Linked DNA regions of Arabidopsis thaliana. The main gene of each other region encodes a partner of the protein of the gene in region 2 in a complex. Each region holds a gene or a part of one and is shown on either strand. Other genes may lie near its edges.

Region 1 (7,436 bases), on a different chromosome or scaffold from region 2:
TTTCACCTTTGAAAATGTGAATCTGAGGCATTGATCTTGGTACAGTCTTTAAATCTAAATCTTCCCTTGCTGGGTTTTGGTCTTGTAGAGGCTGCTCATGAATGCAAGAGTGTTCTTGATTCTGTTGAGAAGATATTTCAGCAAGGGATACCAGATGCTCAAGTGGATAACAAACTTCAAGAAACCGTTAGCCACGCCGTTGAACTACTTCCTGCGCTATGGAAAGAATCTGGTGATTATCAAGAAGCCATATCTGCTTATAGACGCGCGCTTTTAAGCCAATGGAATCTTGATAATGATTGTTGTGCAAGGATTCAAAAAGATTTTGCAGTCTTTCTTTTACATTCTGGAGTCGAAGCGAGTCCACCGAGTTTAGGTTCTCAGATAGAGGGATCGTACATACCTAGAAACAACATAGAAGAAGCCATTCTTCTTCTAATGATTCTTTTAAAGAAGTTTAACCTCGGGAAAGCGAAATGGGATCCGTCTGTGTTTGAGCACCTTACCTTTGCGTTATCTTTATGTAGTCAGACCGCGGTTCTCGCCAAGCAGCTTGAAGAAGTAATGCCTGGTGTGTTTAGCCGTATTGAGCGTTGGAACACTTTGGCTCTTTCTTATAGTGCAGCAGGTCAAAACAGTGCTGCAGTTAACCTTCTTAGAAAGTCTCTGCATAAACACGAACAACCCGATGATCTTGTGGCGCTTTTGTTAGCTGCTAAGCTTTGCAGTGAAGAGCCTTCTTTAGCTGCTGAAGGTACGGGTTATGCGCAGAGAGCGATAAACAATGCTCAAGGTATGGATGAGCATTTGAAAGGCGTTGGTTTGAGGATGTTAGGACTTTGTTTAGGGAAACAAGCGAAGGTTCCGACATCGGATTTTGAAAGATCTCGGCTGCAATCAGAATCATTGAAAGCATTAGATGGAGCTATAGCTTTTGAGCACAATAATCCTGATTTGATCTTTGAGTTAGGTGTTCAATACGCTGAGCAACGGAACTTAAAAGCTGCTTCCCGTTACGCCAAAGAGTTCATCGATGCAACGGGAGGGTCAGTGTTAAAAGGATGGAGATTTCTCGCGCTTGTTTTGTCAGCTCAACAACGGTTTTCAGAAGCAGAAGTTGTGACTGATGCTGCTTTAGATGAAACTGCAAAGTGGGATCAGGGACCTCTCTTGAGACTCAAAGCAAAGCTGAAAATCTCTCAGTCAAATCCAACAGAAGCCGTTGAGACTTATCGTTACCTTCTTGCATTGGTTCAAGCGCAAAGGAAATCTTTCGGACCTCTCAGAACTCTTTCTCAGGTTTCAAAATCTCTTTTGTTCTCTAATCTATTGAGATCATCAATCAAAACCTTTTTTTTTTTTTATTGAAGAACTTGTACAATAACACAGATGGAGGAAGACAAAGTGAATGAGTTTGAAGTGTGGCATGGCTTGGCTTATCTTTACTCAAGCCTTTCGCATTGGAACGACGTAGAAGTCTGTCTGAAAAAAGCCGGAGAGCTGAAACAATACTCTGCTTCAATGTTGCATACAGAAGGCAAGAACAAGAAGCCATTTAACTAATCTCTTAGAATCATCCATTACTTGATTTACTCAAATTTGGTTTGAATCTTTGGGAATGATCAGGTCGAATGTGGGAAGGACGAAAGGAGTTCAAACCCGCGCTAGCAGCTTTCTTGGACGGTTTATTACTAGACGGATCATCGGTTCCTTGCAAAGTAGCGGTTGGAGCGTTATTGTCCGAAAGAGGGAAAGATCATCAGCCAACTCTCCCCGTGGCTAGAAGTTTGCTCTCTGATGCATTGAGGATCGATCCAACAAACCGAAAAGCTTGGTATTACTTAGGAATGGTTCATAAATCTGATGGACGTATAGCTGATGCTACTGATTGCTTCCAAGCTGCTTCTATGCTTGAAGAGTCTGATCCTATTGAAAGCTTCTCAACCATTCTTTAAAAATCCATCATAAAGATTTATATTCATATGTTCATTTTTTGTCTGTCATCTCATGTACAATTTTAAACCTTCTTAATTTCTTCAAACTAAATATATATTACATTGTTCGTTAGTTCTTTATGTTTAGAACTTTAGATGCTGAATTTTGGATACGCTTTCGAGTTTTGTAATCGCAGTTGAATCACAATTCAAGAACATTAGCATAGAAATACTTCCGACTTATACAAAAACTCCAATTCTAAGAAAGAAACTGTGATTTAGCAATTCGATACAAATTTTCAAGGAATGGATAAACACAAGTCAACATTACAAAACAAAACAGAGTCTCTTCTCTACTAGTTCTTGGGAATGTTAACTCCGACGATTTTAGCGGGAGTAATACGAAGAAGATTCCCAGGCTTACCAGGCAAAGCACCTTTGATCATGACAACATTAAGCTCCTTATCAACTTTAACAATCTTAAGCTTCCTAATCTTTGTCCTCGTCCCTCCCATTCTTCCAGGCATCTTCTTCCCTTTATAAACTCTTCCCGGAGTAGTACCAGCACCAATCGAACCCAAAGCTCGATGACTCTTGGAACCATGAGTCATCTGACCTCTCTTGAAATGATGCCTTTTGATTCCTCCTTGAAACCCTTTACCAATTGTGGTTCCAGCTACATCAACGAGATCACCTTCTTTGAATATCTCATCGAACACAAGCTTCTGGTTCGGTTCGAATCCTTCGATGTTTGTTAATCTGAACTCTTGGAGATGTCTCATTGGGATTGTACCGGCTTTTTGGAGATGACCGGTTTCCGGTTTAGTTAGCTTTTTGTCGCGTACACGACGGTAACCGATTTGAACCGCGTCGTAACCGTCTGTGGCTAGGGTTTTGATTTGGGTTACGATGTTACCTTCGCGGAATCCGACGACTGTTACTGGAACTACTGTGCCGTCTTCTTCGAAGAAACTCATCATCCCGAGTTTTGACCCCATTACTCCGATTCCAGCTTCCATGGATGATGAAACCACGAATCTGGTTTTTGGTGATGATTTGATGAGAAGTGAAGAGGATTTCGCCGGGAGGAAAGTGGGAGTGAAGAGTGAAGAGGATAAGGTTGTTTTGTTGAGCAGAGATGGGAAAGAAACAACCGCCATAGCTATCGCCATTGTCGGAGATTCACAGAGGAGAAGAAACTCTGAGAGAGGATAAAGCTCTGTGCCACACTCTTATCTTCTTCTCCAGTTATGAAATTTATTATTATACCGCTGAAGATACTCATATTTACAAAACACGGTGGTTTACCTTTTGCAACATCGGTCCTTTAAATCTGATTTTATTCATTTTGTATTTTTTCTTCTTATTGTATTCAATTTAACCTCTTTCAAGATTGGTGTTTATATTAGTTAGCACAAGTGAGAAAAGAAAATAGTACTTGAATTCTTAAAGATGATTATCATATATAAATAATATCACAAGGATATAATGTTCCAATTTATTGAATTAAAAACACTGAGAAAATAAGACTGGGAATGTTTTAAACGATCCGACACGAGAATAATTTTAGTTTCATATTAAGACAATCATCACTTGAGGTTCCTTCTAGTAAACGATAACTGATGGAGTTTAGAGACGAGATATAAGAAGAGGTACAGAGGCAGGTCCTTCCTCGCCCATCACAGGCTGGAACAGATCCAACTCACCATACCGCTCCAGAACTCGCATCCTACAATCTTCAGCTGCCATCAATCCAGTTGAATAAGCGCCGTGAACCGAGCCCGGGAAGCTCGAGCTCGTCGCTTCACCGGCAAAGAATAAGTTATCCACTGGAACCCTAAGCCTCTCGTAGAGATCATGAGGTTTGCCCACGATATCATAGCTATAAGATCCCATTGAATTCACATCAGATCCCCACCTCGACACGAGATACTGTACCGGAGGCAATGCATCGGGAAGAATTCTCTGGAGTTGCAAGACGGCGAAATTTGCAGCTGCTTCATCAGACATTTTCTCAATGTCTTTGGCAAGCTGACCAGCCGGCATGTAAACCAGAACCGGATGACCCGTGGCCTTGTGCAGGTTCAAAAAATAACTGCAACCGTAGGAGGTTTCAGCTACCACTCCTAGAAACTCTACTTTCGGCCAAAAGACTTTCTCAAAATGTAGTATGATCTTGTTCTCAATACCTACTCCTAGGTCGTTGATTGCTTCTTGTTTCCACTCAGGTAGCTTAGGTTCGAACTTTATGGTTCCCGATTTTAAAACTCCAAGAGGGACAGCAATGACTGCAGCATCCGCAACAAAAGTTTGCCCGTTTTCTGTCGTTACCTTCACTCCATTGTACCGCCTGACAATCTTAGTAACCCTGAGAGAAGGAGAAACACGAGGTTATGACTGTGAAACACTAAACGAATGCCATAACTCTTGAAAAACGCAAAAGCTTACCTGTGGCCTACTCGGATATCAAGACCTTTCGCCAGAGTATTGATGACAGGACGATACCCTCTAACCATAAGACCGTGTCCACCAGGCAACAATTCCTCCTGCACATTTCTCGGAGTGTTAAACCAAAAATTCAAGAAGCAGTCTATACAAAAAAAACTCTTAACTACGAGAGAAAGAATGTAACTAACCTGGTCCCAACACTTTGCAGAGATGGTTTCAGCATCTGCGGCAAACCATCCTTCCATGCGGCATACATACCATTGAAGTACGTTGTGTGCAAGCCCCTCTAACCTGGATGTGAAAATTCAAAATTCAACCATGAAACCAAGCTTGCAAAAGTGCATTGCCTAAAGAAATTGAGAAAATGAGACATTATGTATACAAACCTCAGCTCGGGTTTCCTAGAAAAGACAATTGAGAAAGCCTGAGAAATTGAAATGTCAGCATCCTGCTCATCCCTGACTTTATTGATCTGTGTTTGCAATAGACGAATCTAGTTAGCATGAGCATCAATCAAAGACTTGCAACATCAAGAAATACGAGAATAGGAATAAAGAAGAAATCTAAATGAATGTGAAGGACATACCTCTTCCAAAATACGCTCAAACGTTACGCCAATCTGAGTTACCAATTCTTGAGGAACTTGGTTGCCATCCATATCAAACAGAGCATAGCTACAGAAACAAAAGAATTGCACTGTGAGTTTTAAGGTGTCAAACAAGAATAAAAAGATGGAGGTAACAAAATCGAAATATTCAAGCAAACCTCTCGAGATCATGATCATACAGGACGGAATTGTCACCGCTAGTACGATACAAGGGCAGTCCAAGTCTTCCAATAACTGGTGCGAGAGGATTCTCCTTGCATACTCCATGCAGCCTGTGACATAACGATGTTGCTGTGTTAGCCTAAAGTTAACCAAAAACCAAAACCAAAACATCATCTAATGACAGGATGAAAGAGCCGTGAGATTACCATGATGCACCAAGATCAACAGGAAAACCAAATGAGTAATCAGTGTGAACTCGTCCACCAATTCTGTCACGGGACTCCAGTACCATAACCTAAACACCAAGAACCACACCGTGAGAAAGAGATATCAAAATCAGCTATCAGGATATATTGTATAAAACATGAAACATCACAAACCTGAAAGGAAGCATCCTGAAGAGTGCGAGCAGCTGAAATCCCACCGAAACCACCTCCGATCACAATCACGGAGGGCGACCTTGTCTTCATCCTCTCACCAGCTGAAAAGCAATTAGCTATATGAAAACAAAGCACACGAATTAACGACCGTCCAAAGTCCAATAAAGTATCAATTCTTCTAACAAAGAAACAATAGTGATTATCAGAATTAAACAACCCCACAAAAACAAAACTTGTGGCAATCAGCAGATACATCCAAACAAGTAAACGCCACGAAGGAATCAAATCACCGACAGAGAATTCAGCACGAGGGATAAAATTGAGGACCCATTAAAAAAAAAATCAAATTTTGTTTGATAAACCAAATTACCCAGATTATAATCTAGAGTAAGAACCCTAGATCCTTCCTATACATCAACGATAACAATCCGTAAGCGATTTCACAAAAAAGTAACAGACTTTTCGATGGAGGTTGAAGAAAACAGTACCTCTACGCATTTGACGATCAGAGTTTTTCCTGGACTCCATGATTTTTTTTTCAATTGATCAAACGATTACTCTCGAGATTATTGGAATTACGATTACTATTATTATTATTATTATTACTATTAAGCTGGGGAGAGAAATGAAGAATAAAGATGAGAAGACAAGTCGTGAAGTGGCTCGAAATCGAAGATGAAAAAATCAGGCTTCCAAACAAATTCATGCGATTTTCTTCAGGATTTTTAAACCCCCTCTCTGTTTTTGGTTTTTGTTCACCCTGTTTACTCAGCCGGACAGTATCAACGCAGATCTACGACGATCGGCGATATCTGATTCGTAATTCAAGCGAGCAATGGGGGCCAAAGGATCAAAATTCCCAGAAAAGCCAGAAACGAGGAAGAAGAGCTAGAGAGAGAGAGAGAAAGATGAAAACAGAGAGACTTCTAGAGAGAGAAAACAAAAAAAGGTCGGATTTTTTAGGCTTTGGGTCGGTAAAGTAGGTTAGGTTGTAATTTATAATAACGCATATGCTCCCTAATTATCAATATAATTATTAATTTTCTTATTGGATATAGATCTTTTATTGTAGTTTTTTTAGTAATTTTTATTTATTAAATACCTTAAGATTAATTATTTAATTATTTTAATATTAAAAGAGTTAAATTCAGTCAAAGATTTAAGATATACAATTAACAATTTCAAGATATGAACAAATTATTGGTAAATAATTTAGAACTAAAATTAGATAAGTAGTTCATTTCTATATTATTTGCTAATTATATAGCTTCTAGTATATGTTAATATTACTTTTTCAAAATTTAAATATTTTCTTTTATCAATAACAAAAATTGTGAATTTAGTTCTCTGTTATCACGTGTTCGTTTCGGTAAGCTTGATAAGTTACGTAACTTATCAAGTGGTCCAGTAGGAGCACGTGTCGTGCATTTATACGTTTTCCATCAAATTAAAATGTCAACACGTCAGCTTTTATGTCTGTATCTGGTAAATAATAAATATTTTGTTTCTTAAGACCTGACGATGTAAATTCTTTTAAAAAAGGTTTCTAGACGATTCTAATGATTTTAATAGGTATGATATTGATAGCTATGATGAGTTTCGTAAGAATTGAAGACGAACTTTTACCATAAAATTCCAACGTTTACTGGATTTTTATCCTTTTTTTAAGAAATTTTTAGTTTAATTCCATGAGCTATGATTTACGAGTAAATTACTCAAATGCAATTTAAAAACTCAAATACTTAAATACAATTATCTGGGCTTGATGGCTGAGTTTAGTTATTGTTAAAGCTAATATTTTTTTGACATTGATAATGATTTTGAATTATTGACATGATGTTATAACTTTCTTAGTAGTTTTTTGTGTGGATAGTAATAAAAATGTTTTTCTAAAGATAAACAAAA
Region 2 (7,883 bases):
TTGAGACATCAGAATTCATTTCCCTGTCTTCAGGAGAAAGCAATGAGTTTGAATCACTAACAACAATCTCTGTCATGTGTTCTGACTCCATATCATTTACTTCTCCTCTTGTTAGATCTTTTCCTTTCATTACAGGATGTTTCTCCCCAACCAATCCATCATTGCTACCTACATGAGCAAGGATCAGAATTGTAGAACTTAGAATCATTTACTTTGTAAGCTACAACATTTTTCAGAATGACAAGAGGATGTACCTTGTTGTGGTATTGACTTCTTTTTCCACGGTTCCCATTTCGTGTCAAGCTGATTGTCCAATGGAAAGACTCTGCGACAAAAGCTTTCATGGCGGCAGAAGAAGATATCATTAGGGTTGGCTGCAAACTCTTGCTGAAAACTATCTCCTGAGAGGTTAGGCTTCTCTTCTTGTGGATCATAAGGAATATCAAAAGGGTTTTTAGTTGGTAATAACACAGAAGGTGCAGATTCAGGCATTTGAAGACCATCAACTATATAGTTTTCTTGATCCAAACCGAAATAGTTCCGTCCAACACAGACTGGAGGAACTTCCATATCCATTAAGCTACTCTCAGCGGCAAGTCGGACTAATCTCCTCATTCTTCTTCTAGTAATCAAATGCTCTAACCTCTTGTTACGTTCCATCTCAGAGTTTCCTAAATCCATCAAATTCTTTTGATCATCCTCTGTCCAAGCTACAATCTTTTTGTCTTCACGTGTAGTTTCTTCTTCTTCTTCGCCTTCTGATGACGATGAACACTCGATCTCGGTTTCGCCACCACCACTAGTCAACCTCTCCGATGGATCCACAACGGAAACATTCCCGGTGGTTGAAAGAGTTTCTTCATCTAAGCTAGGCTCAAAGGAGAAACCTTCAGACACAAGAAAGGCTCCATCTTTCTTGAATTTCTGAAGTTTGGGAGATTTTGCAGTATTGGGAATTTCACCATAGAGAGTTGTTAAAATGACTCTGTCTCTCTCATCTTCACTAGCCTGAGAAGAGTCCCAATCTTTCCCAACCTCTTCAACTTTCCTTCTAGCGTTTCGTCGAACACTTCGTTGGTGCTTTAAGTCAGCCTTCCTTGTTTCTTCCTCCTCAGATCTCTTTTGGGAAAATGGTGAAAACCAATTATCCGTTTTGATATGCAAAAGCTTAAAACTTGGATGATTCCGAAGATAAAACACAGAGCATGCGATTAACGGAGAAGAGTAAAGGACGAAATAAAAAAGGCGTGGAAGAAAAATGTATAGGAGGAAGATAATTGCAGAAACACCAGAAACAACTGGGTGATTCCTTACGTTTCTATAAACGATGTTCGTGGAAAATCTGAGAATTTTCCAGAACAGAGTTCCGACATCTTTGGCATCGATTCCCATGTTTTAAACAGTTCAAATTCTCAGAACACTTTGAGAGATAATAACCCAAAGCATTCTGTCTATGGCGGTTTGTGTTTTGTCCTAGAGAATCAAAATGCTTGAAAGGGAAAAACAAATATGGTTTAATTGAAGAAGCGAAAATTGATCAATAAGAGAGAGGTCAAGCTTTCATTTGAAACAATAACCAGTCAATAAAAAATAGATTTTTCAAGGGTTTTTTTAGATTTTCGTTTTGGTTCTTTTTCAGTTTTCAGAACACACGGTAAGGACGGAGAAGACAAAATAGAAAACTGGTAAGAGAGGGCGGGAGTTAAATTAGTTGCTTTCTTACACATGTTTCCAAAGATTCTTGTTTTCTTACACTTTTAACCACATTTTTTACTGGTTCAGAAATTGACCCTTAAAGTTCATGGATTTTGCATCTCATATCTCTTTCTTCAAAAGATTGGGCTATCTTCTTAAGCCCACCAAGACCCATCAAATGTCTGTAAATAACATACACTATTGACACTTCCTAAGTTTTCTAGCTAATCCTTTTTTTTAGCAAGTTGTTAACAGATTTGTGTGAGACTATTCATGATTTTCAAAACCAAGATGAACATCAACGCTTAAAGCTTATAATAGCCACTCTTTCTTGTTAACTTGATGACTAAAGTCAATCTTTGTTGCTCAATCTTAACTGATACACACACAATCAACGTTACTCATGATATCTAATTTCACTCCTTACTCCTTCATTGAGAGTTGGACACAAAATCAGTATGACAAGAAATTGAGGATGATCTCTTAAGAAAAACTCTAAAAGTAAATACACATTTCTCTTGTTGTGACACAAAAAGGAAAGAGAAGACCTCATCAAGGAGAGTGAGAAGATGTACTCAAGATTAAACTCATAATTAAGCCACACTTGAAGCAATTGGAACTACGGGTGCTACTCATTCTTAAGCTTCCTCTGACCCTTCATAACACAAACAAATAATTACTTTTCCATATTAACACATCATATTTCTACCTCTTCAAGAAATTAAAACCAGACAAAAACGATCAAACACAACATTCAAAACATCAAATTTCGACAACAAGCCAGTTCCTTTCAAGAAAACACTAACCTTCCGTCTCATCTTCATCGTCATCTTCTTCCTCCACCGCATCAACACCGTACCTCGCATTCAAGAACTCCACAGCCGCAGGAGTCAGAACAAGCTTATCAGCGTTCAAAATATCAAACAGATTCAGTGTCCTAGGCGTCAACATCCTCAAGGTTCCAATGTTCCTACTCGATTTCGCCACATTCTCATCCACATCAATCATCAAGAACATAGCTTTCTCCTTGGGATCCAATCCCCACCTTTGCATCGCAGCTAAGAAATCTTTAGTCTTGGGCTTCTCAAACTTCTCCCCAAATTCCTCCACCACTATCGCACCACCTTCCGCAGATGCCGCACTCGATAACGCCGTAGATATCGCTAGCTTCTTCTCCTTCCTATTGATTTTAATTGACCAATCCTTAGGTCTTGGCCCAAACACCACACCTCCACCGGGACGTAACGGTGTTCTCTGAGATCCACGCCTCGCGTGGCCAGTTTTCTTCTGTGAGTAAGGTTTAATTCCACCACCACGAACTTCACCGCGAGTCAGTGTGGAAGCAGTACCTCGCCGCTTGTTATTCAGGTCCGTCACGATGGCTCGGTGCACAACGGCACGCGCGGTATCCTCCGGCGCCGCTTTGAGGTCTAGATACGTCTCTCCGACCTTCTCTCCTTCGAATGATAGAATCGGTAGAGTCGCTAGCTGGGAAGAGACAGAAAGCGGCTTCGAGACTCTGCCGGAGCCGAGTTTTGAAACGGAAATGTAGGTTTTAGGGATTTGGTGAGAGGAGGATAAAAAGAGAGAAGATGAGAAGAAAGATAGCGAATTTGGTGCTGTTGCAGAAGAAGCCATTGTTGTTCCCTGACCTGACCTATCACAACGAAGAAGAAGAAGAAAGACTGAGAAAGTGTTATCCACTCTTCAAATGCCTATCTTGTGCTTGGTGAGAATTTATGCATCTGTTTGGACATAAGGATATAACTATCCTGTTCATGAATAACTCCAGCTGTCGCTAGTAAGAAAGAGTCAAACTCCAAAAGTCAAAAGCCTCTTATATAGCCAGCAGGTTTTTTGAGACATAAAACTCTGTGATAAAACGATGATAGTTGATGATAGCTGAGACTTTGATACAGATATTTGAGATACGAGCGCACGTTAGCTAAGACCACCGCGTAAGCCACCGTCTCGTCTTGAAACGCACCGTATTCATGACTTCGTCGGAGCCACTCGACCTGGTTGTCACCGTCGTCTCTGCCAAGCACCTGAAGAATGTCAACTGGCGTAACGGTGACCTGAAACCCTACGTTGTTCTGTATCTTGACCAAGACCACCCTCTCTCCACCCGCTCCGATGATTCCTCCTCCATCAAACCGGTGTGGAACGAGCGGATTACTCTTCCTCTCACCCGATCTGTCCACGAATCGGTCCTCAACATCGAGGTTTTTCATTCCAATTCTTCGGATCTGGCGAAAACCCTCGTCGGATCGGTTAGGTTTCCTCTAGCTCGTTTGATTGACTCGGACGGGTCAATGATTCCGGAATTGATCAACTCGCTCGAGCTGGTTCGTCCATCGGGTCGACCACAGGGGAAGATTCGTTTGAAGCTCGCGATCAAAGACAGACCAATCCCTCCACCGCAGCATCCTCCGCCACGTCCTCAATCTCAACCACTAGATTACTATTCTGCCCCTCAAGGAAACCATTATTACTCCCCTAGCCCTCCTCCTCCTCCTCCTCCTCAAGCACCGATCACCGCTCCATCTCCTCAGCGTGACTACAGAGAATTCTCACAGTCACCGTCTCCGTCTCCTTACGCATTCACTGATCACTACTATTCCGGGTATTATTATCCGCCTCCTCCACCACGTTCAATGTACGATCGTGCCTCCAATTACGGCCTCCCAAGTGGCCCATCTGCTCCCGTTGATGCCTTCTCATCGATTGATCACAAGCAGCCTCCTTTAGCTCCTCCTCGGTTTTCTAACTACGGTCCACCGCCTAGTGGGCCCTCAGCACCCGTTGATGCCTTTCTGGTTACCGAGTACAAGCCACAAGCTCCACCTATGGGCTCGCGATTGTCTAGCTACGGAGTGCCTAATGGTCCATCGGCACCAGTCGATTACTCTCCTTATGATCACAGGCAGTTGCAGAAGACGATGGGTGGATTGAGCTTAGAGGAAGAGAGAGCTGCTGCAGAGAGGTCTGAGAGTGATTTCGGAGCTAGGCCAAACTACAGCTATGGCCGTGATTATCGCCGTGAATGTTGAGGATGGCAAAAAGTTGTTGAATTTCACAAGTGTGCGGCGTTTCTAAGGCTTTACTTATCATCAGATTTGTTGGTGTTAGAACACCAGGAAATGGCTGATGACAAAATATGAATTTGGTGAAGTATATGTTATGTCTATATGTATGTCTCGTTTGTGAATTGATTTGTTGCTTCTTTCTAGCTGATATTCGGTGTTACCCCTTCTGTACCTTTGTACATGTTTCTAAAACATCTCTCATTTCTTTCCTTCATTCAGTTTCTTGAATCAAGCTATTGGGTTCTTAGGGTTAATGTTCTAATGTGAATCACTTTACTGTTGATTTATTGTTTGAACCATGCTCTGATTAGGTATGGTAGTATGCTCTGTCTCAGACATGAACAGTCCTATATCCTGCGATTCTGCCGAATATTTTTGCAGGCTGGTTAAAGACTTTGGTTCTTATTTCATGTTTGATGATACCAATGTGTGATTTTCGTTTGGAACCAGTGATCTCCATATTCATTGAGCGTTTGGATTAATGTGTCTTGAATCATGCTCATCACAGTGCAGAAAAGATGTTCTCTCTGATCGTTTTGGGTAAAATGGTATGTACACGGTTGGTGCTAAGTCTATTGTGCTCTTGTTATAACGATGAGACAGAGCAGTTTTGCTATTGCATTCTTTTCCCTTTTGGCATTTTGGTAACCTGCTATACATATCAGTCAATCTCATGCTATTTGCATCTAATCACTGACAATCATGCAGGTATTATTGTTCTGTTCTCAATGGAATGTTTTCACATGTAAAATCACTCTATTCTCCAGATTGTGTGATCTTCTATTTATGTCCTGACACTCCCTGGTTTATTATATGCTTTCTCATATTCTTGTACCCACCATTAACTTGTTTTTTTGTTCTTTCCTTGATCCCTCCTTTTTATTGTAGCCGCAGACTCATGAAAGGAATCTGCATCCATAAAGGTAAGATTATATTGGCCTCTCCTGGAGTCAAAAAGAAACTTTTTTAGATTGTTATGTAACTTATGTGCACACATGAGTGATCATCAAAGAAGAATGATACCAAATGGTTGCTTAACCTTTTTCTTCACTTAAACAAAGGGTTTATTCCCTCTGTGGACCGTAAAGAAAAATAGAAAAAACTAAACCTAGTCTTCTCTTTTTGCTCTTGGGCATAGTTCTCTTTATAAATTTGTAGATCCACTTTAACTACAAGTCTTTTTATATATAGGGTCTAAAATAAGATTGAAGTTACACTTTTTTGTTAGTTGTTTATTTGTTTATGTCTTGAGTGCTTAATCATGGCCTAAGCGTAATGATGTTATAGATAATATACATCATTAATCATTTCATGTCTTTTCCCGTATTTGCCTGAACTATCAGCACAACTGTTCTCAGCACCAGTCCGTTAAATATCTCTCATTATCCTCATATTGTTTCCCATAAACTTCTCTCACTCTCTCTATCTTTCTCTTGATATGTCAGCTACTGGTATAAAACGGTCCAACCTCAACACTAGACCGGTTCAGAGAGATGCTTCGGCTAAGCAAACAGCTATCAAGGGACCTTATGGTAAGAGTCCGGGATGCACAACAAGCTGCGGATTAAGGTTACCGAGGAAAACAGAAGTGACAGCAGCAAAATTGATCAAGCATCTTGGATGCAAATTTGCAAAAGGTTTGCGTCTGGTGGTGATGAGGAAGAAGAAAAGATCTCCACCGTCGAAGGTTTCTTCTTTTTCTGGGAGGTCTCAGCCACCAATCATCCCAATAAACAATGACAGTCATCGATCAGAGGCCATAGAAGACTGCATACAGTTCATCAACTCATCATCCTCCTTCACCAGATCAAACTCTACTTCTTAAGTGTTATCATTCCCAAACCTTTTGTCTCGGTCGCTCGCTCGCTCGCGTATTGTCTATTTTACTTATTCGTGAGAGTTGCATGTAAATAATGTCTACATAAATCTATTATGTGACTTCTGTTGTTGTAGTACGAGTAACTGTCTTCCATCTTTCTCAATTTCTGTCTATAAATATTAGATTTTGATATTCGTATTTGTTCATGATTAGTTACAAGGATAAGCCACTTCTGTTTTATCAATAAACGAATTTCCTCTTTCTATAATACATATTTTTCTGAGATGTTCCTATAATTAAAATGTTCGTGTGTGACTTATTTTATCATTTTATTAATTATGTAGTAAAAATGCTTTAGTTTAAAAAGTAAATTTAAAATAGTTTATCCAAGAAAGTTCATAAATAAAGCATGGCCACTGATTTGTTTACCCTAACAGTTAGTAGCACCTTCAGTGAACGGGAGACCACCTAAATCAATCTATGTGTGAGCGTGTGTGATTTGTTTAGCTTTAACGTTTGATAGCCTAAAACAACTTCTTCCTTTTGTGTAGTCTTTTTACCCAATTCTATCATATCTTTTAAAATAGAAAATTATAGCAAATTTTTGGTCGTGTTCACAATTTGTTTGAGTGGGCTACTAAAAGTTGAAATCTCCACTAATCGTTTAGATAATACTAAATCCATTTGTTAATGTTGATCCACTGAAATCTATATATGTAAATGAAAATCAAACTGATTTTTAGCCTGAGACGAAAATTTGTCGGCAAGTGTGCGATCAAATGATCAGTAAGTATTAAGTGTGATCAGTCGTTTAGACCAAAAGACAAATTTGCAAGAATTAAAAACATCAGTACGCCTAAAAAGCCCGTAATGTCTTAACAACGTATGGGCTTAATTCTAATGTCTAAAGCCCGTAATATCAAAGCCCAAGCCCAGGTTTATAATACATCCGACACAGCCACCGGCAATCTTCCCGCCAGTATAATCGCCATGGATTCCGGCAGTCTCAAGCCTAAAAGGCTAAAAATATTTTCGTCGCATACATCATTCCGTTCTCAGCTGATTTAAAATACAATTAATCTGCTCCCAGATTTGAAGAACCCTAAAATAAAAAAGAGTAAAATTGAAGGCTGGAGATTGTGAACATGGACGGTTACTCTCTCTCTCCTACCTCGGTAATCTCGCTCAGATCCTCCCACGTTCTTCCTCGCCTCTTACGCCTTTGCGTGTTACCTAAAAAGGTCATCACCTTCATCGTCGCCGGTTTTCCTCTTCTCAAA
Region 3 (8,216 bases), on a different chromosome or scaffold from region 2:
ATAAGGTGTCTGTCTATGCAAGAGGTCCATGGTACGTCAACATACTAAGTAAATCATTACCACATGCAGATTAAATAATATAGGTGGGTACTCACAGAGATGGTTTCCGAGCTTTGTCCATCACCATTTGTTGCTCCGGATTCAGAGGATCTTTGGGTTGTAGACGGGGTAATATAAGAGACTTTGAGCTTACATTCTGTTAATGTCTTTCCACTGTCCTTGGTGAACTAGACACACAAGTATTGCATATATAATGTCAATTTGTTTTCCAAAAACTGCAGAAACAAGAAGAATCTTAATAAAAAAAGTTTTAAACTTGGATTTCTTACAGTGTCTTGAGGAAGTTCATCCACATCAGTGTGTGGAGGTACAATGGTACTTTGCAGGAGAAATTTGTCTTTGCACTGCATATCTGGAGGATACTCTCGTTGCGCTTGTAGAGTAACTATAATTAAGAAGATCTTAATCATCTCCATGTTCAAGTTTTAAACTGCTAATGAAAGAAGTTAGAGTATGAGGAATTACTATACCTCTAATGATGCAAGAGTCCCATGGCTGAATGACACCAGTGTTAGGTCTTACAAAATACTTCTTTGGAGATGTTGTTTTCACCTGATTGATGAAGCCAAAAACACAAAAGAAAGAAGCCATTGTAACAAACGAAATAACTTGATCACAAGACAAAGCATATGAAGTTGGTGGTTTGATGCAGAAATTACCTTGAAAGCAACATAGTTCTCTGTTTTATTGGCAACTTTAAGATCACAGTAGCTTTGCTTCTCAAGTTCAACTGAAACAAAATCAAAAATTCCAAATGTCATCCAAAGGAAGACCCTCCAAAAAGTTTCAAACAGCAATTTTCTTAATAACCAAGAGAATCAGCCTTATCTAAAGTCAGAACCTCAAAAGCTCAAAGAAGTTAACAAAAACTTGATGCTGGTGTATGTAAACAAGAGGAAAACAAGCATTGATGATACACACAATTTCGAAATCTCTAGAGAACAAAAAGATGGTAAATTCGAGAGAAGCCTTTTCTCATTCACATTTCACAAATTAAGAATAGATATCCCTAGAATTAACCAAGTATAGATGAGACAAATGCATGCCATTGATTAACGAAGAGAGTGTAGAAGAATGCTTACAGAGAAATTTGAGTTCATCAGGTTGAATGGAGATAAGCTGATTCTCGCCAACGCCGGTCATCTTTTTTTTTTGTTTGCTTAAAGCTACGACGACAAAAGTTTCACAATCAAATCTCTATTGAAAAAAGTATACAACAACATCAAAAAATCGAAGCCCTAATCCAAACAATTCCGATTTTATCTAACTTTTTTCCAGAAAAGGTAAAAAGAGGGGAAAAACTGAGAAATGAAGAGAGGAAAAAAAGACGGATCAAACCTGAAGAAAACAAAAGTCACGGTCCCAACGATGAGGGAGGAAGAAGCTGCTTATTTTTTTCTCTGGCTCTCCCGATAATCGCTCTCCACCAATATCCCAAAACTCTCCTCCTATCTCTCTCCTCTCGTTCTATTCGTGGTAACAAAGGCAAAAGAAGAGAGAGAAAGAGAAACGGGGAAGACGAAACCCAAAGGCGCTTCGTGGAGCGGCCACGTGAAGTCGAAGCAAAGTTTCCGTACGATTTTCCTCCGGCGTCGTCTCCGGGAACTGCGGGGAAGAAGAAAGAGCGAAAGAGAGAGAAGAGAGGGAAAAATGTGACACGTGTGAAAACAGTTGTGCATTGTAAGAGACGAAAAAACAAAGGTTAAAAGCGACAGGCTGGAAAAAAGAGGATGATGACGTGGCAGATATTGATTGGTGTTTGATTTTATATAGTGGCTAAAAAGGCTATAATGAGCTTTCAGGGTGGTAGGCCATTTTTCGTCTCTCACGATTGATGATATTTTAAATTTATTTCTCCGTGTCCATTAATGATTGATTGTTAGCAAGTAATTAATTATCGGACATAAAAGTCATCATACAGAGGAAAGAGACAAGAAAAATACTCAATCATTCGTTTCTTTTTTCCTGCTTTAGCTGGAAAATTCATTTACATGAATGAATTACATGATTTTACATGTAAAAAATCTATTTTGAAAAGCAATTTCAATGATTCAAAAGTTTTATTTTAATGATTAAATCAGTCATATTTCTGAAAAAGAATACTAAAGGGTCCAGATTCTACATACTCAAGATCAAAACAATCAACATTGATTTACTTTTCTTAAATTACTGTTACTGTAAATTACATGAAAAGAAATGAAATCCAAAAGACGAAACAAACAAACAATTATTACAAGAGAAAAGAGAGTAGCTAGCTACCTTTGGAGATTGAAGACAACACAAGACAAGACTGGTGTTGGGTTTGGTGATCATTTAAAAGTTGAGAGACGAGGAAGTTTGTCCCTCAGATAGTAAAGTCTTGCTCTTCTCACTTTCCTGTGACTTACCACTTTTATCTCCTTTATGTTGGGAGAGTATCTGTTAAATTCAAAACACACATCACATCAGATACATATTCTAAACCAAGATCAAAACATATTACTTGATTGTGTAGATTAGTATCTGTTCAAGATCAAAACATATCAGTTACATATTACTTCATTGTAGAATCAGCCAATAGTACTGGAAAGTTCATAGGGACTAGTATGTTATGATAACGGCTAGACTCTAGAGTGATTAAGATTAAAGGTTGGTGCGCGTTTCTGTAGTAAATAAGCACAAAGCTTGGTGACCTATAATGCTAAGACTTCCAGCATTTATGTACTAGTTCCTATAGTATCATACTTGGAGTAGCAATTATTTCCTTTTTTCGTGAAGAAAGCTAATACATATGATCAGATATAGAATTGTAAATCTCTTAAGTTCTCAAGAAGCGAAGACTATGACTGTTCACGATAAAAGAAGCTAATTCCGGTTTGTTTTAGAGTTCCTAAAATCTCTCTCAAAGCCAAAAGACTCCTTAACAAGGTCAAAGACCCTTAACTCTGACTATCTAATACTATTTACATTTATACTTATCAATATACCCGAGTAAGTGTGTGATAATAGGATAGTTAAGGAAGAATAAACTTACATGGGAAAGACGATTTCAACACCAATGCCTGCAATAATCCTCCGGATACGGATAGTAGTGTGGATGCCTGCATTTTGTCTAGACATCACAATACCTTTGTAGATAGATAGCCTACGTTTGTTCTCAGGAACTTCCTGTAAAATCAAACCCACCATGTCGTATCAAAATCTTGCAGTTAAATGCATAAATTGCATAAGATTATACGGGGACAATGAGTTTTACCAGTTTGATTTCTACAATATCCCCAGTCCTAAGTCCAGGAACCGGTCTTACAGTCTCTGCAACCTCAATAGCTTTCTTGTTCAGTAGCTACAGAAACAAAAAGCAAATCAACATTTCATTTCTCCAATGCCTAAAAGATAACTGATGATTTAAGAACAGGAGCCAAAACAACTACAGTATCAGACATGTATAATCAGATTCAGAGCCAAAACAAAACACTAGACAATCTCATAGAATCACATTGGATAATGAACTAACCCCCATGATATCTCCGAGCTTGACTCTCGTCTTCCACGGAGGTTTAGCTTCCTCCGCCGCAACAGTGGCTTCTCCTTCTCCTTCCGCTTCAGTTTCAACAGCATTCTCCACAACAGCCTCAGTTTCACCTTCAGTACTCTCTTCAGCTTTAGCGATAAACTCTTTTCTCTTCTTGGAATCGATGGCGAAACCAAAATTGGAGCTCGAATGATTGAGAAAAACCCTAGAAACTGATAGTCTTGAGTTCACTGATGATGCTCGTGGTAGAATTGAAGAAACCCCTAAATTCTTCGACGAGAAAGAAGGGGTTCTCGGTATCATATGCAATGCCTGGTTCCATAAATGGTAGATAAATACAGAATTCAAAGAAGCATAAGTATGAAAATGTGATTGAGCGTGAGAGAGTGAAGAAGAAGAACCTGAGGAAGAAGATGAGAGCTCGTCGCCATGTTTGCACAACCCAAACTCGAAACCAGAGTAAAGAAGAGCCTTATCGCTTATCCGCTCCGTGTATTTCAATTTATGGGCCATTTACTAATTTTATGGGCCTAGACATTTAGGCCCATATTCAATTGATATAACAAGAAACCCATTACCAAAGCTGGTTCTACCAGTCTACCACCACGAACCAAGGCTTGTCCAAGTACACTAATGTAGAACCAAAAATGGTTTAAATAAAGAGTTTCTGTTACAAACAAATGTATGTTTATGTGTCCTTAAATTGATAGCTCTAAATAATCTACTTTGGGCCTTTTAAAAGTTATGATTGACGAATAAATTTCTGCTGGAGTTGAAATATTATTCTATGTGACTATGTTGTATATTCAAGTCGTCTACATGTTCACGTTACATTGACTTACACCGCAAGCGATGAAAAGCTATTATATGTTAGTTTAATCAGAATACCAAAAAGATAATAATCAAAATATTCCATCTTCTTTCTTTGTGAAACGAATATATATTCTCTTACAGGTGGTTTAATTAAAAGCTTGACAACAGTACGTAATATTAGCATACATATAAAAAGTTACATTAATTGGATACGAAATTTTAATCTCCTAAAGATAGTTATTCTCCGATTGTATAGAATCAAAAAAGAAAAGAACAAAAATCGACAAAGAAGAAGAAAAAAGATTGATTGATTCTTTTGTCCTCCACGCATCTCTCTGAGTTGGCTCGGCCACGTCAGCATTCAAACATCAAAACCAAAACGCATTTAAATGTCGAAAAGAGTGGGTCCCTTTTTTTCTTTTTTCTTAACCGTGTCATTGACAAAAAGAGCACTTAATAAGCCAAAGCCACATAGAAGAAAAAAAAAAGAACATTCACGTCTCTCTCGTTTTTTTGGCCGACGACGATCGCTGAATTGACTGCCGGAGATTCCTTTAATCGTCAGATTCTCGTTGAGGGATAATGAATCCTGAATAGTAAGAAACTTGTCTTCTCGTTGTTTCATGTATCTATTGTTTCGGATCGATCCGCGTTTTTTATTTTTTGATGTGTTTGGTGATTTGGTTTTTGTTCGATTTTGCTTTGGATCTTTGTTGGTTGTTAGGTTTGTGAATTGAATCTACCTAATTTTGCTCGTTTAAGGTATTTTGTATTAGAATTTTGTATAGATTTGGATTTTCGTTCCATGGATCTTATACAGGTCAGATCCGAGGAAATTTGATCGAGATCTGCAATTTCTGTTTACTGTTGTAGTTGAAATTCGCGAGTGTGACACAATTTTCCCTTTGATCTCATTAGCATATTGTATATAGATGTTCTTGCGTTTTTATTTCCTGACCCGAATTTTCATGAGTTTATGAGCTTCACTGAGATTGGTGTTTACCGTTCTGTTGTTGCAGTGACTATCTGTTCAAGCTTCTGCTTATTGGTGATTCTGGTGTTGGAAAATCATGCTTGCTTCTAAGATTTGCTGTAAGTATTCCCACAATTCTGGATTCATCATCTCTGGTAGTTACTTTTTAACATTGTGTACACACAAAAATTTGAGGATCACATCTTGGAGTTCAATACCTGTTGCTCAAGACTCAAAACTCAAAAGTCATTACTCCATTGGATTAGCTTAGTTCTCACTATGGTATCATTGTTACTCCTTTGTGTTCTTATTTCCTGATATCTTGAATTTTATGTGGACAGGATGATTCTTACCTGGATAGCTACATAAGCACCATTGGTGTTGACTTTGTAAGCACCTTCATTTGCTCATCACTCATTTATATACAGGAATCAGAATAATAAGTGTTAACCTTTACTAATGATATCATGCAGAAAATTCGCACAGTTGAGCAGGACGGAAAGACCATCAAACTCCAGATCGTAAGTGTTCTTCAGCTAGATATGCAATCATAATCTGTTAAAATTTTGGAAAGAGCAGATAGTTACTCTTGTTTTGGTAATCGCCTGTGTATACAGTGGGACACAGCAGGCCAAGAACGTTTCAGGACAATCACTAGCAGCTACTACAGAGGAGCTCATGGGATCATTGTATGTACTCTTACTCTAACCAACCAATCATCTTCTTGTTAAATAACACATCCTATACCTCTTGCTCACAATTGCCTATCTTTGCAGGTCACTTATGATGTCACAGACCTAGAGAGCTTCAACAACGTCAAACAATGGCTGAATGAAATTGACCGTTACGCTAGCGAAAATGTGAACAAGCTACTGGTTGGGAACAAGAACGATCTCACTTCACAGAAAGTTGTATCCACTGAGACAGCTAAGGTAATTTTATAATAAACTAGGTGAACTCTCTATCCACGTAAACCTTGTCTTAAAGAGAATAACATTTTTGTTGTCTCATCTCCTTGTCCCACAGGCTTTTGCAGATGAACTTGGGATCCCATTCTTGGAAACAAGTGCTAAAAATGCAACCAATGTGGAAGAAGCTTTCATGGCTATGACTGCTGCAATTAAGACAAGGTTAGAAACTAAATTTTACTTGTGAAGTCATTAACCCTTTACTTCCATACTTAAAAGGTTTTGTTGTTTTCGCAGAATGGCTAGCCAACCAGCTGGAGGTGCCAAGCCACCAACGGTCCAGATCCGTGGACAGCCAGTGAACCAGCAATCAGGCTGTTGTTCTTCTTGATTCAATTAGTCACCACTCCTCTTTCGATCATCACACCATTATGATCATTTGTTTGCATTGCATGTTAGACTTCTCCAAATTAACAACTCTTTGGATCCTTTTGCTTGTTTTTCATTTGCTTTCTTTTGATCCGATTCTTTTCTGATGTACGTTGAAGTTTGAAACCCATAACTTCTATATAGTAAAAGGTCTTTTATGCAAATAATGTAGAGCACTCTTTAATGCCTTCGACGATTCTAAATCATCGCTCAAGTATGAAAGATACTAGATATCGTGCTATTAGAAATATACTTCATTTATGATGTACGAAAAGAAAGATCGAATGTGTAATACCAAAATTAGAGAGAAAAATATCTTAATAATTTTTTTCATAACTTAAAAAACGTAATAGTTTCGCAGAAAAGACCTTCAGAAAGTGTAACAAAAAATTATAAAACTAACAAAATTCAACCAAAGAGAAACGAAAGACAGAGATAGCGAGGCTGAAGGACCAGGGGTCTTTACTAGCCCAACGAAGGGAACTGAGCTGTGTCTCCAATCGCCGGAGCTGCAGCTTCTTTTGCATACCTTTGGTTTCCTCCTTCACCACGACCACCGCGACCTCCTCTTCCGCGGGAGCCTCCACCTCTCCCGTTGTACCTCTTTCCATCAGCCGGCTTCAAGAACTCATTAATGCTCAACGACTACAAAATCACCCAAAATCACTCAGGTAAAAAAATGACACAACCCAAAAGAAATCATGAAGTGAGAACAGAAAGAACTAAGACCTTTTTGGCCTTCTCAGTAGCATCTTTGCGTTTTTCCTTGTCAGATCCCTGAAACAATAAAATACCAAGTATTAACTATTGCTCCGTTACAGTGAAGGGAATAGATAAACTGAACAGTAGATGATTTTCTGACCAGCTTGATGAAGATTTCTTCATCGGTGTTCTTCTTGTTAGAGAGCTGTTGCATGGACTCAAACACTTTGGTGTCAACTTTCCTTTCCTCAACCTTTGTGGCTTGCAGAGCCTTCTTCTTCTCCTCCAGAATTTTCTCATACTCTTCTAGAGTCATCTCCTATATGACAAAACCATATCAGTTCAAAATGTTAGCAAACATTCTACTTCAAACTTAACTAAACCTCAAAAGATGTTTCAAGAGCTGTAAATGATTGTACCCTGGCTTCAGCTTCTTCAGCTTCTTTCTGTGCTTTCTCTTCCGCAGTGAGTTCTTTCTTTGCTTCAGGGGTTTCATCCTCACCTCCTTGCTTCTCAGCAACAGGGCTCTTCTCAACCTCTGTGGTAGGTTCCTCAGACGTTCTAATATAAGAACAACAAAAGTTTATAAACAACCTAAAGTTAAAGTCATATGGATAATTAAAGTGAAGACAAGGATGCTTACGGAGGGATATCATCTTCAGTAGTGCCCCAGTTTCCACGACCTCCACCATTACGTTTCATGCCAGTACTATCAAACATCAAGTTAACATAAATGAATCACAAACAGAAGAAGTCAAACAAAGTAGTAACTAAAGTAGTGGACAGAACAAAAAGAAAGCTTACCCATGACCTGTCCTGC

The links. The genes of interacting proteins can lie anywhere in the genome.
Region 1: RPL4 (region 2) and AT2G43030 share a complex: the UniProt entries of both Arabidopsis thaliana proteins name them as parts of the 50S ribosomal subunit.
Region 3: RPL4 (region 2) and AT5G47190 share a complex: the UniProt entries of both Arabidopsis thaliana proteins name them as parts of the 50S ribosomal subunit.

Annotation. Positions count from the first base shown.
Region 1 is NC_003071.7:17,890,568-17,898,003, reverse strand, and holds AT2G43030 (Ribosomal protein L3 family protein), read right to left. Parts: upstream 3,209-7,436; 5' UTR 3,107-3,208; coding exon 2,291-3,106; 3' UTR 2,122-2,290; downstream 1-2,121. Other genes in the region: NPG1 (tetratricopeptide repeat (TPR)-containing protein), read left to right, coding at 89-1,299, 1,390-1,537, 1,627-1,955; PAO2 (polyamine oxidase 2), read right to left, coding at 3,564-4,302, 4,383-4,480, 4,571-4,673, 4,769-4,854, 4,969-5,056, 5,148-5,261, 5,358-5,446, 5,532-5,647 and 1 more. UniProt on the Arabidopsis thaliana protein: One of the primary rRNA binding proteins, it binds directly near the 3'-end of the 23S rRNA, where it nucleates assembly of the 50S subunit.
Region 2 is NC_003070.9:2,244,640-2,252,522, reverse strand, and holds RPL4 (ribosomal protein L4), read right to left. Parts: upstream 3,557-7,883; 5' UTR 3,334-3,556; coding exon 2,502-3,333; coding exon of another isoform or gene 2,497-2,501; exon of another isoform or gene 2,351-2,496; coding exon 2,334-2,350; 3' UTR 1,994-2,333; downstream 1-1,993. Other genes in the region: AT1G07330 (dentin sialophosphoprotein), read right to left, coding at 1-168, 255-1,392; AT1G07310 (Calcium-dependent lipid-binding (CaLB domain) family protein), read left to right, coding at 3,690-4,748; AT1G07300 (josephin protein-like protein), read left to right, coding at 5,518-5,707, 6,230-6,609. UniProt on the Arabidopsis thaliana protein: This protein binds directly and specifically to 23S rRNA. May play a role in plastid transcriptional regulation.
Region 3 is NC_003076.8:19,162,063-19,170,278, forward strand, and holds AT5G47190 (Ribosomal protein L19 family protein), read right to left. Parts: upstream 4,074-8,216; 5' UTR 4,003-4,073; coding exon 3,973-4,002; intron 3,884-3,972; coding exon 3,554-3,883; intron 3,383-3,553; coding exon 3,296-3,382; intron 3,208-3,295; coding exon 3,074-3,207; intron 2,479-3,073; coding exon 2,370-2,478; 3' UTR 2,122-2,369; downstream 1-2,121. Other genes in the region: AT5G47180 (Plant VAMP (vesicle-associated membrane protein) family protein), read right to left, coding at 96-227, 330-445, 531-612, 720-790, 1,143-1,203; RAB1A (RAB GTPase homolog 1A), read left to right, coding at 4,967-4,980, 5,404-5,476, 5,699-5,746, 5,831-5,878, 5,975-6,046, 6,134-6,289, 6,384-6,487, 6,563-6,656; AT5G47210 (Hyaluronan / mRNA binding family), read right to left, coding at 7,160-7,339, 7,424-7,471, 7,557-7,715, 7,816-7,957, 8,040-8,105, 8,201-8,216. UniProt on the Arabidopsis thaliana protein: Located at the 30S-50S ribosomal subunit interface and binds directly to 23S ribosomal RNA.